Linked DNA regions of Saccharomyces cerevisiae S288C. The gene in region 2 interacts genetically with the main gene of each other region. Each region holds a gene or a part of one and is shown on either strand. Other genes may lie near its edges.

Evidence for each region.
Region 1: mutations in MSC1 (region 2) and ISW2 together harm fitness less than expected from each alone (positive genetic interaction), as found in Saccharomyces cerevisiae (2 studies listed by BioGRID).
Region 3: mutations in MSC1 (region 2) and NST1 together harm fitness less than expected from each alone (positive genetic interaction), as found in Saccharomyces cerevisiae (2 studies listed by BioGRID).

What each region holds. Positions count from the first base shown.
Region 1 is NC_001147.6:882,581-886,338, forward strand, and holds the start of ISW2 (DNA translocase), read left to right. Parts: upstream 1-1,933; coding exon 1,934-3,758. Other genes in the region: YOR302W (uncharacterized protein), read left to right, coding at 185-262; carbamoyl-phosphate synthase (glutamine-hydrolyzing) CPA1, read left to right, coding at 319-1,554. UniProt on the Saccharomyces cerevisiae protein: Catalytic component of the ISW2 complex, which acts in remodeling the chromatin by catalyzing an ATP-dependent alteration in the structure of nucleosomal DNA.
Region 2 is NC_001145.3:15,077-18,834, forward strand, and holds MSC1 (double-strand break repair enhancer MSC1), read right to left. Parts: upstream 1,601-3,758; coding exon 59-1,600; downstream 1-58. Other genes in the region: RSC9 (Rsc9p), read left to right, coding at 1,988-3,733.
Region 3 is NC_001146.8:450,396-454,153, reverse strand, and holds the start of NST1 (Nst1p), read right to left. Parts: upstream 1,747-3,758; coding exon 1-1,746. Other genes in the region: YNL092W (S-adenosylmethionine-dependent methyltransferase), read right to left, coding at 2,081-3,283; Rab family GTPase YPT53, read right to left, coding at 3,624-3,758. UniProt on the Saccharomyces cerevisiae protein: With MSL1, acts as a negative regulator of salt tolerance.

The DNA.
Region 1 (3,758 bases), on a different chromosome or scaffold from region 2:
CCCTCCTTTTTCTTTTCTTTTCTTGACTCGTCGTTTCTTTTTCTTTTTTTTTTTTTTTTTTTTCTTCAGAACTATAACACATAGATACACTCGAACATCTAATTGTTTAAATACTGCAAAGAATACAAGGTAATCGACTCTTCTACATACCCTTTTTGCAGATTTGAAATAAAAAAAACATTATATGTTTAGCTTATCGAACTCTCAATACACCTGCCAAGACTACATATCTGACCACATCTGGAAAACTAGCTCCCACTAATTTCATTGCTTAATAATCAGAAATTCTATCACAAACCACTCCTAAAAATATTTCAAATGTCCTCCGCTGCAACAAAAGCTACTTTCTGTATCCAAAATGGTCCTTCCTTTGAAGGTATATCTTTTGGTGCAAACAAATCTGTTGCTGGTGAAACAGTTTTCACTACTTCTCTGGTTGGTTACCCAGAGTCCATGACTGATCCTTCCTACCGTGGTCAGATATTAGTCTTCACGCAACCCTTGATTGGTAACTACGGTGTCCCATCCGGCGAAGCCCGCGATGAATACAATTTACTGAAGTATTTTGAATCTCCGCATATACATGTGGTCGGCATCGTTGTCGCTGAATATGCTTATCAATATTCGCATTGGACCGCTGTTGAATCTCTGGCACAATGGTGTCAGAGAGAAGGTGTTGCTGCTATTACTGGCGTAGACACCCGTGAACTAGTGCAATACTTGAGGGAACAAGGTTCTTCTTTGGGCCGTATTACGTTGGCTGATCATGACCCTGTCCCCTACGTGAATCCCATGAAAACTAACTTGGTTGCTCAAGTCACCACAAAAAAGCCTTTCCACGTCTCTGCCTTACCTGGGAAGGCTAAGGCAAATGTGGCTCTTATTGACTGTGGTGTTAAAGAAAACATTATCAGATGCCTAGTCAAAAGAGGTGCCAATGTAACTGTTTTCCCCTATGATTACAGAATTCAAGATGTTGCTTCTGAATTCGACGGTATTTTCTTATCCAATGGACCAGGCAACCCAGAACTATGCCAAGCTACAATTTCCAACGTCAGGGAATTACTAAATAACCCTGTTTATGACTGTATCCCTATTTTTGGGATTTGTCTAGGCCATCAACTCTTGGCTCTGGCCTCCGGTGCCTCTACTCACAAATTGAAATATGGTAATAGGGCTCACAACATCCCTGCCATGGATTTGACTACCGGCCAGTGCCACATTACATCTCAAAATCATGGCTATGCAGTTGATCCTGAGACCCTACCAAAGGACCAATGGAAACCTTATTTTGTTAATTTAAACGACAAATCAAACGAAGGCATGATACACCTTCAAAGACCCATATTTTCTACCCAATTTCACCCAGAGGCAAAAGGTGGTCCCTTAGACACAGCTATTCTTTTTGACAAATTCTTCGATAATATAGAAAAATACCAATTACAATCTCAGGCAAAAAGTTCAATCTCACTAAAAGTAACATACAGTACCGATAAATCGAGATTGCAGAGTATAAATGTTACTAAGTTGGCCAAGGAAAGAGTGTTGTTCTAAAAACAAAATTTATACATTACGTAACACATACGTACATCTAAATACGATTCAATTCAGTTCATGGTATTTTGCGCTACTCGTCGTTGCTTAGTATCTACTCGCAGTTGTCATAATTAACGGGCGCTTCTTGTAATTAAATGAACAAAAAAACGTAACGTACGTACAATGGCTCTAATTTCATCCTGCCATCCTAAAAAAAAAATCAAATAAAGCAGACTCAAAAATTTTCAGCTTCAGTTAAATTTTGATAAGTATATTTGCATAACTCAAGGAGTTTGTGCAAACGGTTTTCTTTCTTTGTGGTTTGTTTTATTTACTTTCCAATAATACCCGTCTTGTTGGTTTAAGTCGTAACAAAAGGAAAACTTACAATCAGATCATGACGACCCAGCAAGAGGAGCAACGAAGTGATACCAAGAATAGCAAAAGCGAGTCACCTTCAGAAGTTTTAGTCGATACTCTCGACTCAAAGTCAAATGGCAGTAGTGATGATGATAATATCGGACAAAGTGAAGAGCTATCAGATAAAGAAATATATACAGTAGAAGATAGACCACCAGAATATTGGGCTCAAAGAAAGAAAAAATTCGTACTTGATGTAGATCCAAAATACGCCAAGCAAAAGGACAAGTCCGATACGTACAAAAGATTCAAATATTTATTAGGCGTCACAGACCTTTTCCGTCATTTTATTGGAATTAAGGCAAAACATGATAAAAATATTCAAAAACTCTTAAAACAGTTAGATTCTGATGCAAACAAACTTTCCAAATCACACAGCACCGTCAGTTCGTCATCACGTCACCATAGAAAAACAGAAAAGGAGGAAGATGCTGAATTAATGGCTGATGAGGAAGAAGAGATTGTAGATACATATCAGGAAGACATATTCGTCTCAGAATCTCCCTCCTTCGTCAAGTCAGGAAAATTAAGAGACTATCAAGTTCAAGGCTTAAACTGGTTAATATCGTTGCACGAAAACAAACTATCTGGTATCTTGGCCGATGAAATGGGGCTGGGTAAAACCTTACAAACAATTTCATTCCTAGGTTATTTGAGATACGTCAAACAAATCGAGGGACCCTTTCTAATAATAGTACCGAAGTCAACACTAGATAATTGGAGACGAGAGTTTCTTAAATGGACTCCAAACGTCAATGTCCTTGTGTTACATGGTGATAAAGACACAAGAGCTGATATAGTACGGAATATAATATTAGAAGCTAGATTTGATGTATTGATTACATCTTATGAAATGGTCATTAGAGAAAAGAATGCTTTGAAAAGATTAGCTTGGCAATATATTGTTATTGATGAGGCTCACAGGATCAAAAATGAACAAAGCGCGTTATCTCAAATAATTAGATTATTTTACTCTAAGAATAGATTATTGATTACGGGCACGCCTCTACAAAACAATCTACACGAATTATGGGCCCTGCTAAATTTCTTATTACCTGATATATTTGGAGATTCTGAACTTTTTGATGAATGGTTCGAACAAAACAATTCGGAACAAGATCAAGAAATTGTAATCCAACAGCTACACTCAGTACTAAACCCCTTTTTACTGAGAAGAGTCAAAGCGGATGTCGAAAAATCTTTGCTACCTAAAATCGAAACGAATGTTTACGTGGGGATGACAGACATGCAAATACAATGGTATAAATCATTATTAGAGAAGGATATAGACGCTGTTAACGGTGCTGTTGGAAAAAGAGAAGGCAAAACGAGGTTACTGAATATTGTTATGCAATTAAGGAAATGCTGTAATCATCCATATCTTTTTGAAGGCGCAGAACCTGGACCTCCATACACTACCGATGAACATTTGATTTTCAATTCCGGGAAAATGATTATATTAGATAAGTTACTGAAAAGACTGAAGGAAAAGGGATCTAGAGTATTGATTTTCAGTCAAATGTCGAGACTATTGGATATCTTAGAAGATTATTGCTATTTTAGAGATTTTGAATATTGCAGAATCGACGGTTCTACTAGCCATGAAGAACGTATAGAAGCTATCGATGAGTATAATAAACCTAATTCTGAAAAGTTCGTTTTTTTGCTAACAACACGTGCCGGTGGTTTAGGTATTAACCTTGTCACAGCCGACACTGTTATTCTTTTTGATTCTGATTGGAACCCTCAAGCTGATCTACAAGCAATGGATAGAGCGCATAGAATTGGTCAAAAGAAACAAG
Region 2 (3,758 bases):
ATATACGGATGAAAAGAAAAATTGGGGAGAAAAGTACATTACGTTGACACCCCAATCATTAGTTGAACCCTAATATGCTTTTCGACCAGTTTTTAACGTTATGTAGGTACCTCTTGTAAGCAGGCTCCTTAACAGTGCCGAACAACCATTGCGTATTCTGCTTGGCCAAGTTGATTAAGTCGTCCTTCGTAGAAGTCTGTTTAACCGGAACACCGAATGATTTTAGGTACTGCAATAGGTCTTCTTGAGACCAGCTCTGAAAGGTATTTGACCAGGTCTTAGCGATTTGGTCCTTAGCATCATTTGTGTTTTTGGAAACCTTGTCAAAATCCTGCATAATTGTGGAGTAAGTCTGAGAATCTTGGAAGTCGTCCTTTTTGTCAGCAAACCAACCCTTTATGTCATCCAAAGACCAGTTACTGTTGTCAAAGTATTTTTGGTAGTCTTTTGGCAGGATCTTGAGTTTTTCGTTTCTGGATTTTTTGACTAATTCTCTCAATTGATGTTCAGTAGACAGCATTGAGTACTTAATACCACGAGCATCTAAAAACATTTTCAATTTGTCCTTTGGCCAAGAGTCTAGGCCAACCAAAAAAGTATCATTGATCACATTGTCAGTCTTACCTCTGAACTTGGAGTACAAATTTGTGAGGAAATTTTTAGAAGAGTCCCAAACGGAACCAACGTATTCTGGGGTCTTGGTCAAAAATGGAGAAGACTCTCTTTTCATATAGTCCAGGTACCAGTAGATATCATCTTTCAAATTGGCAGAATTTTCTTTGGCCATTCTAACCAAATAGTCGTGTTTCTTGGCCATGTTCTTGTCAATATTGACCTTGTGGCTCTCCAACCAATTGGTTAACTGATCACTAGACCACTTGTCAAATACAGTGTCTTTTATTTGTCCCGATGTGTCTAATATTTGTTGGTGAGCCAAATCCAAGCTTTCTAGCAAACCCAGACGCTGCTGTTCTGCCTTTTCTGAAGTTCGGTAGATGTTTTCCTTGACTTTCTGAACTAGCTCGTCCTTGCTTTGAACTGCCTTGTCGTAGTCGATACCATTGTCATTCAACCAGTTTTGCAAATCTTTGGTTGACCAGCTATCAAAGTAAGAGCTAGAAGGATAGTATCCCGACGACTTCAAAGATTTGGAAATCTTGTTGAAGTTCTCCTTAGCAGTCTTCACCAGCGAGTCCTTGGAAGCCTTAGCGTCGTCAACATCCACGCCGTTTTTCTTCAAGAAGTTACGTAGACTGTCTGTGGACCAGGTGTCAAAGAGCCAGTCAGAAACTGGGTGATCCGAAGAACCAGTATAACCAAACCATCCGGGGTTACTGTTGCTCACGCTACTGCTGTCACTAGACCACACCTGCCACCATGGTTTGGGCTGCGCGTGTTTGTCCCATACCTGCGATGCCTCCGTTTTCAAGTCCTCAATGGAGTCTGTAGCGTACTTTTCCAAGCTCTTCTTATTATCACGTAAATAATCGGCCAGGTCTTCCTGCGTCCACTTGTCGAACACTGAATCTGAATTGGCCAACACTAAGCCAATAAGCACAAATGATGCGGAAACCGCATTAACCAACTTGAATTGCTTCATCTTCTTCTCTTAATTAACAGTTCTTTTGTAGTTGTCTCCTCTTCTATTGCAGATCCTCTTCTAAACTCCGGTAATCTAATCATGCTAGGAATACGACTCCATGAGTGGCTTTAAATACCCTGTCGATCCCCTTTCACCGCCTCCTTGTTTCCTCCCTCTCCCTTATTTTCCTTCAGTTCCAAAGATCCCTTATTCTTCCCCTCTAAGGTGAGGCCGGCGTAATGCTGTTGCTTACCGACGTAATGGTGGAAAAGGTGAAAAAAGTGAAAATAGTGATATTCTTAGAGAAAAACGAAAACAACAAGTCGTGTCAAGAGGTAGTGTTTTGGGAAAGACGTCATAGAGAAAGGCAGAAAGCTTGTAAAGAAGTGGAAATAAAGATTGAAGATGAACTCGTTAGCTTCAAACACACCGCTAAATGGTACTCCAGTAAGCGAGGCACCCGCCACAAGCTCCGAGCCTGTGAACATGTTCGAGACAATGGTGGCTAACCCTATTAAAGTGTCTCGATTACAGTCTAATGGAGTTCTGACGGGACCTGCAGCCAATACTAAGTCCATCCACTATTCGCTGGCCAATTTTAATGTGTTCCAGTCGCTACCCAAGGAAACGGCCAGAGGTGTAGACGATTTGACGAGGATGGAGATGGCGTTACTGAGTGGGATACCGGAGGAGATTAAGTGGTCTTTAAAAAAATATCTTACGTATAGTAACAAGGCGCCATATATGATCAGCTTACGGACATTGCCGGACCTGTTGCCACTTTTCAAGACTTTCATATTGCCTTTGGAGCGCATCGTGGAAGGTCTTAACAAATCGTCTATATGTGATTCAAAGGCGATGGATTCTCTACAAATGGGTCTAAATGCCTTGCTGATCCTAAGGAATCTGGCTCAAGATACTGATTCGGTGCAGATACTAGTCAAGGATCGAGAAATCAAATCTTTCATTCTTTTCATTTTGAAGAAGTTTCAGTGCGTCGCTACAGGCGATAACAAGTGGCAATTGTACGAAGGAAATGCAACTTTTTTTAACGAGTTGACCCATTATACTCTGGACTTGATGGAGGCCATTTCGTCCTATATTGCTCCTGCAATGAAGGATGATCATTATTTCCAAACGCTGGTGTCCATCTTGAACTACACTAAGGACAGATACATGGTTATTTCTATATTGAGGTCTCTTTCAAGATTACTGGTTAGGTCCAAAGCTAACGAGGAAAGTGCAGCGGACAATTTGGACCATAAGACTCTTTCGTTGATCGTTTCCTTTTTACTGTTAGAATGCGATAGTGAGCTGATTATTGCTTCGTTGGATTTCCTCTATCAATACATTTTGCCCGGTTCTCAAAGAATCACTGAGTTATTCAAGAGTAAGGAGTGCTCTTTGATACTGGAAGCCACGCTGCCTAATTTATTATCATATAATATCGCCACACCAGATTACCATCTTTTGCAAAAGCACAAAATTAGGTTGATTAAAAGGTTGAAGCCTCCCGCTCCAAAGGAGCCTCCCAATTTATCTGAGGATCTGTTTCAACAACTTTTCAAACTTAACGAGCCCTTGAGGTCAACCGCTTGGTTGAGATGTTGCTTTGAGCCTGTACAAGAAGCAGAATTTACACAAATATCGCTTTGGAGATCCTACGAATCCAAATTTGGTCAGCCTGTTCGCGAATCCGGACGCAAATTGTTACCTGCCGTGGAATTCATCAAGAATGTCTCGAATGCTTTCAATAACGCCGCTGCTATCGTAATCACTGACCCGGTAACCGGCAAGAAAAGGTTTGTTATCAAGGGCATTCAACCAAGATTTAAAGCTTTGGGTATTGCAGACGGGGAAAGAGAATCCCAGGTACCCATTTCGGCACTAAAATCCAAATTTTTGAATGACTCTAAGGAAATTACACCTGCAAGACAAAACAGCATACCAGAGGTCAAATTCCCTCAAGAACTCTCAGATGTTTCTAAAGTGGCCTGTACGTTTTTGTGCCTTTTATCCAACGACACGGATGATGGTGCTGGTTCCGCATTTTGTCAACGCATCAGGCCACTGGTTCTACATAAATTGGCTGATATTCCACCTTTAACATTAGCATTGTCTGAATACATGGAAAACACGTCGGGGTTATGAATGAGAAAAAAAATCGGTTGGGCTT
Region 3 (3,758 bases), on a different chromosome or scaffold from region 2:
ATAAGTATCTTCTTCGTCATCGCCTTCATTTTCATCCTCTTCCTCTGGCTCATCTTCATCCCCATCTAATATATCATCATCGCGGTGAAAGTGCTTATGAGGATCATGCGGTAATTCTATATCGGAAATATACTCTTCTTCACTCAGTTCATCTTCGCTGTGGGTACTGGTACTATGGTAGTGATGGTGAGGGTGGTTCTGTCGTTTATGATCGTGGTCATAACTTAAATGTAATGTTTCACGTATCCCGTTGCTTTTTTCATCATGCTCTGGTTTTTCGACTGCCTCTATTCCTTCATACTCAGAAACCTCTTCGCTATCTTCAGCATATTCTGAATAGTCATCATAGTCTTCCTCATCTTCATCTTCATATATAGAATCAGTATCTAACGAAGTATCCTTCGATTGAGATGAAAAGCACGAGCTTAAAGTGGCTGCTAGAACGGATGGACCTAATTCCCCATCAAATTTATTTTTAAAGGATTGAATTATCAACTCTCTGAAAGATTTTTTGTCTCTCCCCGACATGAATCGTGTAAATAGCTCCTTCTCTAATTGTGACACATCTTTGAATTTCTTACTTGCGGTATCGTACGCATTAGTCATCCTTTCAGCAATGTTGCGCTGGAGGTCGGCATACTCATCTTCTGTAAGTGGTTTTCCACTATGCAGCATTGTGGTAAACTCCTTTGGATCAGTCAAATCTGTACTAGATGCTTCATCTTCAGTGATGCTGTCGTCTTTTTTCGATGCTTGTATCTGGCCATCTCGCACAAAGTCTTCGATTGCATTAAGAAATCCTTGCCCGTTACTATTCATTAAGTCATCAGTCAGTGCTCTAATATTCGGATACATCATCATTTTTTGTACATACTCCTCTGCTATTTTGGGATGTGATGAAATAAACGTTTTTGTGAAGTTGGAATATTTTTGTTGCAACTCTTCATCGCTCACAGAATTGAAATTTGCGGAAATTTCACTAGAAGTTTTGTTGATGTGTATATTGTTCAAATTTTCTTCAAGTAATGAGGTATTATCCGCCGTTTCATTATGCGCTTGTTCTTGTTTTGAAAGTTGCTTTTGTTTGAAATGCAGCACTTCCTCTTTCAAAGAGCCAACTGTACTTGACGAAAGGAAATTTTTTACAACTTCGCCCTTTGTAGAAGATAAATCATTTTGCTGTTGATTTTTGGAAATCTGTAGCTCCTTTATTATGCCTAAGTGGAATTTGATAGGATTGGTTTCAGGGTCTTTATCCTTATCCATGGCATAAAGTGTATTGTATATACGCTCCATTTCTTGATCCATTGCTAAATGGCGGCGTCCACAAACAGAGCAACTACAACTATGATCGTCCTGGTAATTCCTTATGACATTAAATACTTCCTCCTTTTCGATTCGTAGAATAGTTTTCTTTTCTTCTGGCGATAATGATTCCCAGTGAGAATCTAGAGTAAAAGCTAAGGAAGAAGCAGAATCCATACTATCCTTATTATGAGTCAAGTTCGCCGTACGTTCTTTCTTATCATCGTCTGTATTTATTGGTTCCACGATGACATCGCCATTGGGCGCTCTTTTTATTACTCTTGAAGTTGGGTAATCCGATTCTGTATGATACAACTCTGGCTCCATTCGAGGTACTAGCTGTGTAGGATTTATACTTTGTTCAGGATCAGAGTTGCCATTTTTCTTGTTGTGTTGCTTGGATTTGTTCTTTCTTCTCTTACTCTTGGAGTTTGGGGGCATCTTTGGCAATTTCCCCAATTTTTCACTTATAAAGATTGCTTATTGTTGAAAGTAATGGCCTTAAGCGATAAATGCACCTGGAAACTGAAACGATAAAGGAGCTTATAAAGTGAATCAATTATGACAAATCACTCTTCTTCTAGCTTTGATATATAGTTCAAATTGAGGGCTTTATGTATTACTGGATCTAGGCTGATAACCAGTACTGTCAATATGGTAAACAGAACATAGCGAGAGGGAGCAAAAAGAATTTTCCGCGCGGGTAACATTCTGAGTTCTCTAAAACGGCTGTGTCAGCAACTTCTATATAGTGCAATTAGATTATTGTGTAAGCTTATGATTCATTGGTGGGGTTCGACTTCAGGATCCAATAGTGGCACATGTATCCAGGCATGGCGCAACTTTCTGGACCCGCGTAGCGGCCATACCCACAAAGTATTCCTGACTCTCTCCGTATTAATTCAAAGTCCAGATGATTTGTGGCAATGCTTATGATATCATCGCTAGAAAGCTCTAAACCCATCAGTGGTGTATAGTCATTGATTTTATCTTGAAACCCAGAGTAAGGGTTAACTTCGTAGGTAGTTTCAACCCCATGGTCATTTTCAAAATGATAAAGCAATGGGCCGAAATTGCACCAGATTCCGCCTGGCTTCAAGACGTGGCCAATAGTATCCAAATAATCCAAGATGTTGGATCCCGTATCTATAAAAAAGTTTGTTACTACAACGTCTTTGGAGTTTTCAGCTTTTGCTCTACTTAGTTGCATCCTTCGCGAAAATGTATAATGTGACGAGATTTTTGTGCCTTGATTACGACCATAACAATCAACAAACGAGCCAGCACATATCGACATGGACCCCATACCTTTATTTGAAGACCACGCTTCTATGTCCGGCACCTTAATGGGAGACAACTGATCTTCAATTTTTTTCCAGTGGGAGAAACAGTGTATGAAGGGATAGATAATAATTTGGTTTTGGAGTAATCCTGCATTCAACATGTATTGAGATACAAGCAGCATGTGATATGAAAATTCGTTACCTTCACAATTATAGCCCATTCTGCTAAGATCCACGAGAAGGCGTCCTGTGCCGCAACCCGGTATCAAAATGTCGGCTTTTGGGGGTGATAGGGTCTTCAAAAACGGTACAAGCCTCGAATTTAAGCAATTACGTTCAGAAATGGCCTCTGCGGACCACTCCCTATAAACTTGCGTAAGTAAAGAGCATGTTTTACTCATATCTAAATCGTTTGGTTGTACGATTTCTCCTGGCTCAAAACTTATTGATTGCAGGGCATATTCGGCGACACTTCTAAAGAACTTGCCATTTTCTATAATTGCGGCTTTCAGATTAGCTAAATATTTTGTATAGTTTGGTACCATGTCTTTTTGACGATCTGAGATCGATGCCCATTTTTTCACTCTCAAATTGTAGATTTCCTTTAGGGCATACTCTTCATACTTAAGAAATGATATGATCACTCGAGCTACAGCTTTATTCTCCCTTTGATTATCAAATTCATTCTCGTCCATAGTCAAAATTACTGATATGTGTTCACCTCTAATTAATTTTCAGATCCTCACCAATTTTTGCCGCTGGTACACCAAAATAACAGTAGCTGATTTTGTATAAATTACAAACTATAGTACGTAAAGGCCTTGTGATTCTCGATCTGGCGATGAAAATTCCCGCCCCTAAAAAAAGTGTATTTCTTGCGGCTAATGGAAGTGAAACAAAAAAGTGCTTGTTTTGCAAAAGTAATTGAAAATTTCCAGTACTATTCTTCCAGCTGTTGTTACGAACTGTTCTTTTCAATGGCAAGCTTCGCTAAGACGCTGAATATGCCGCGTTTGCTGTTGTTTTGCTTGCAGTTTAGCAGTTACAACCCCCAGTCTCCCTAGTACTTTCTACAGTCGTTGATTCGAGATCGATTCGTTGATTATCGGTAATTGTGCGATCATGAGTAGAGCTTTGTCGTGTATTTTGTTCAGGACATGGTACTTTTTC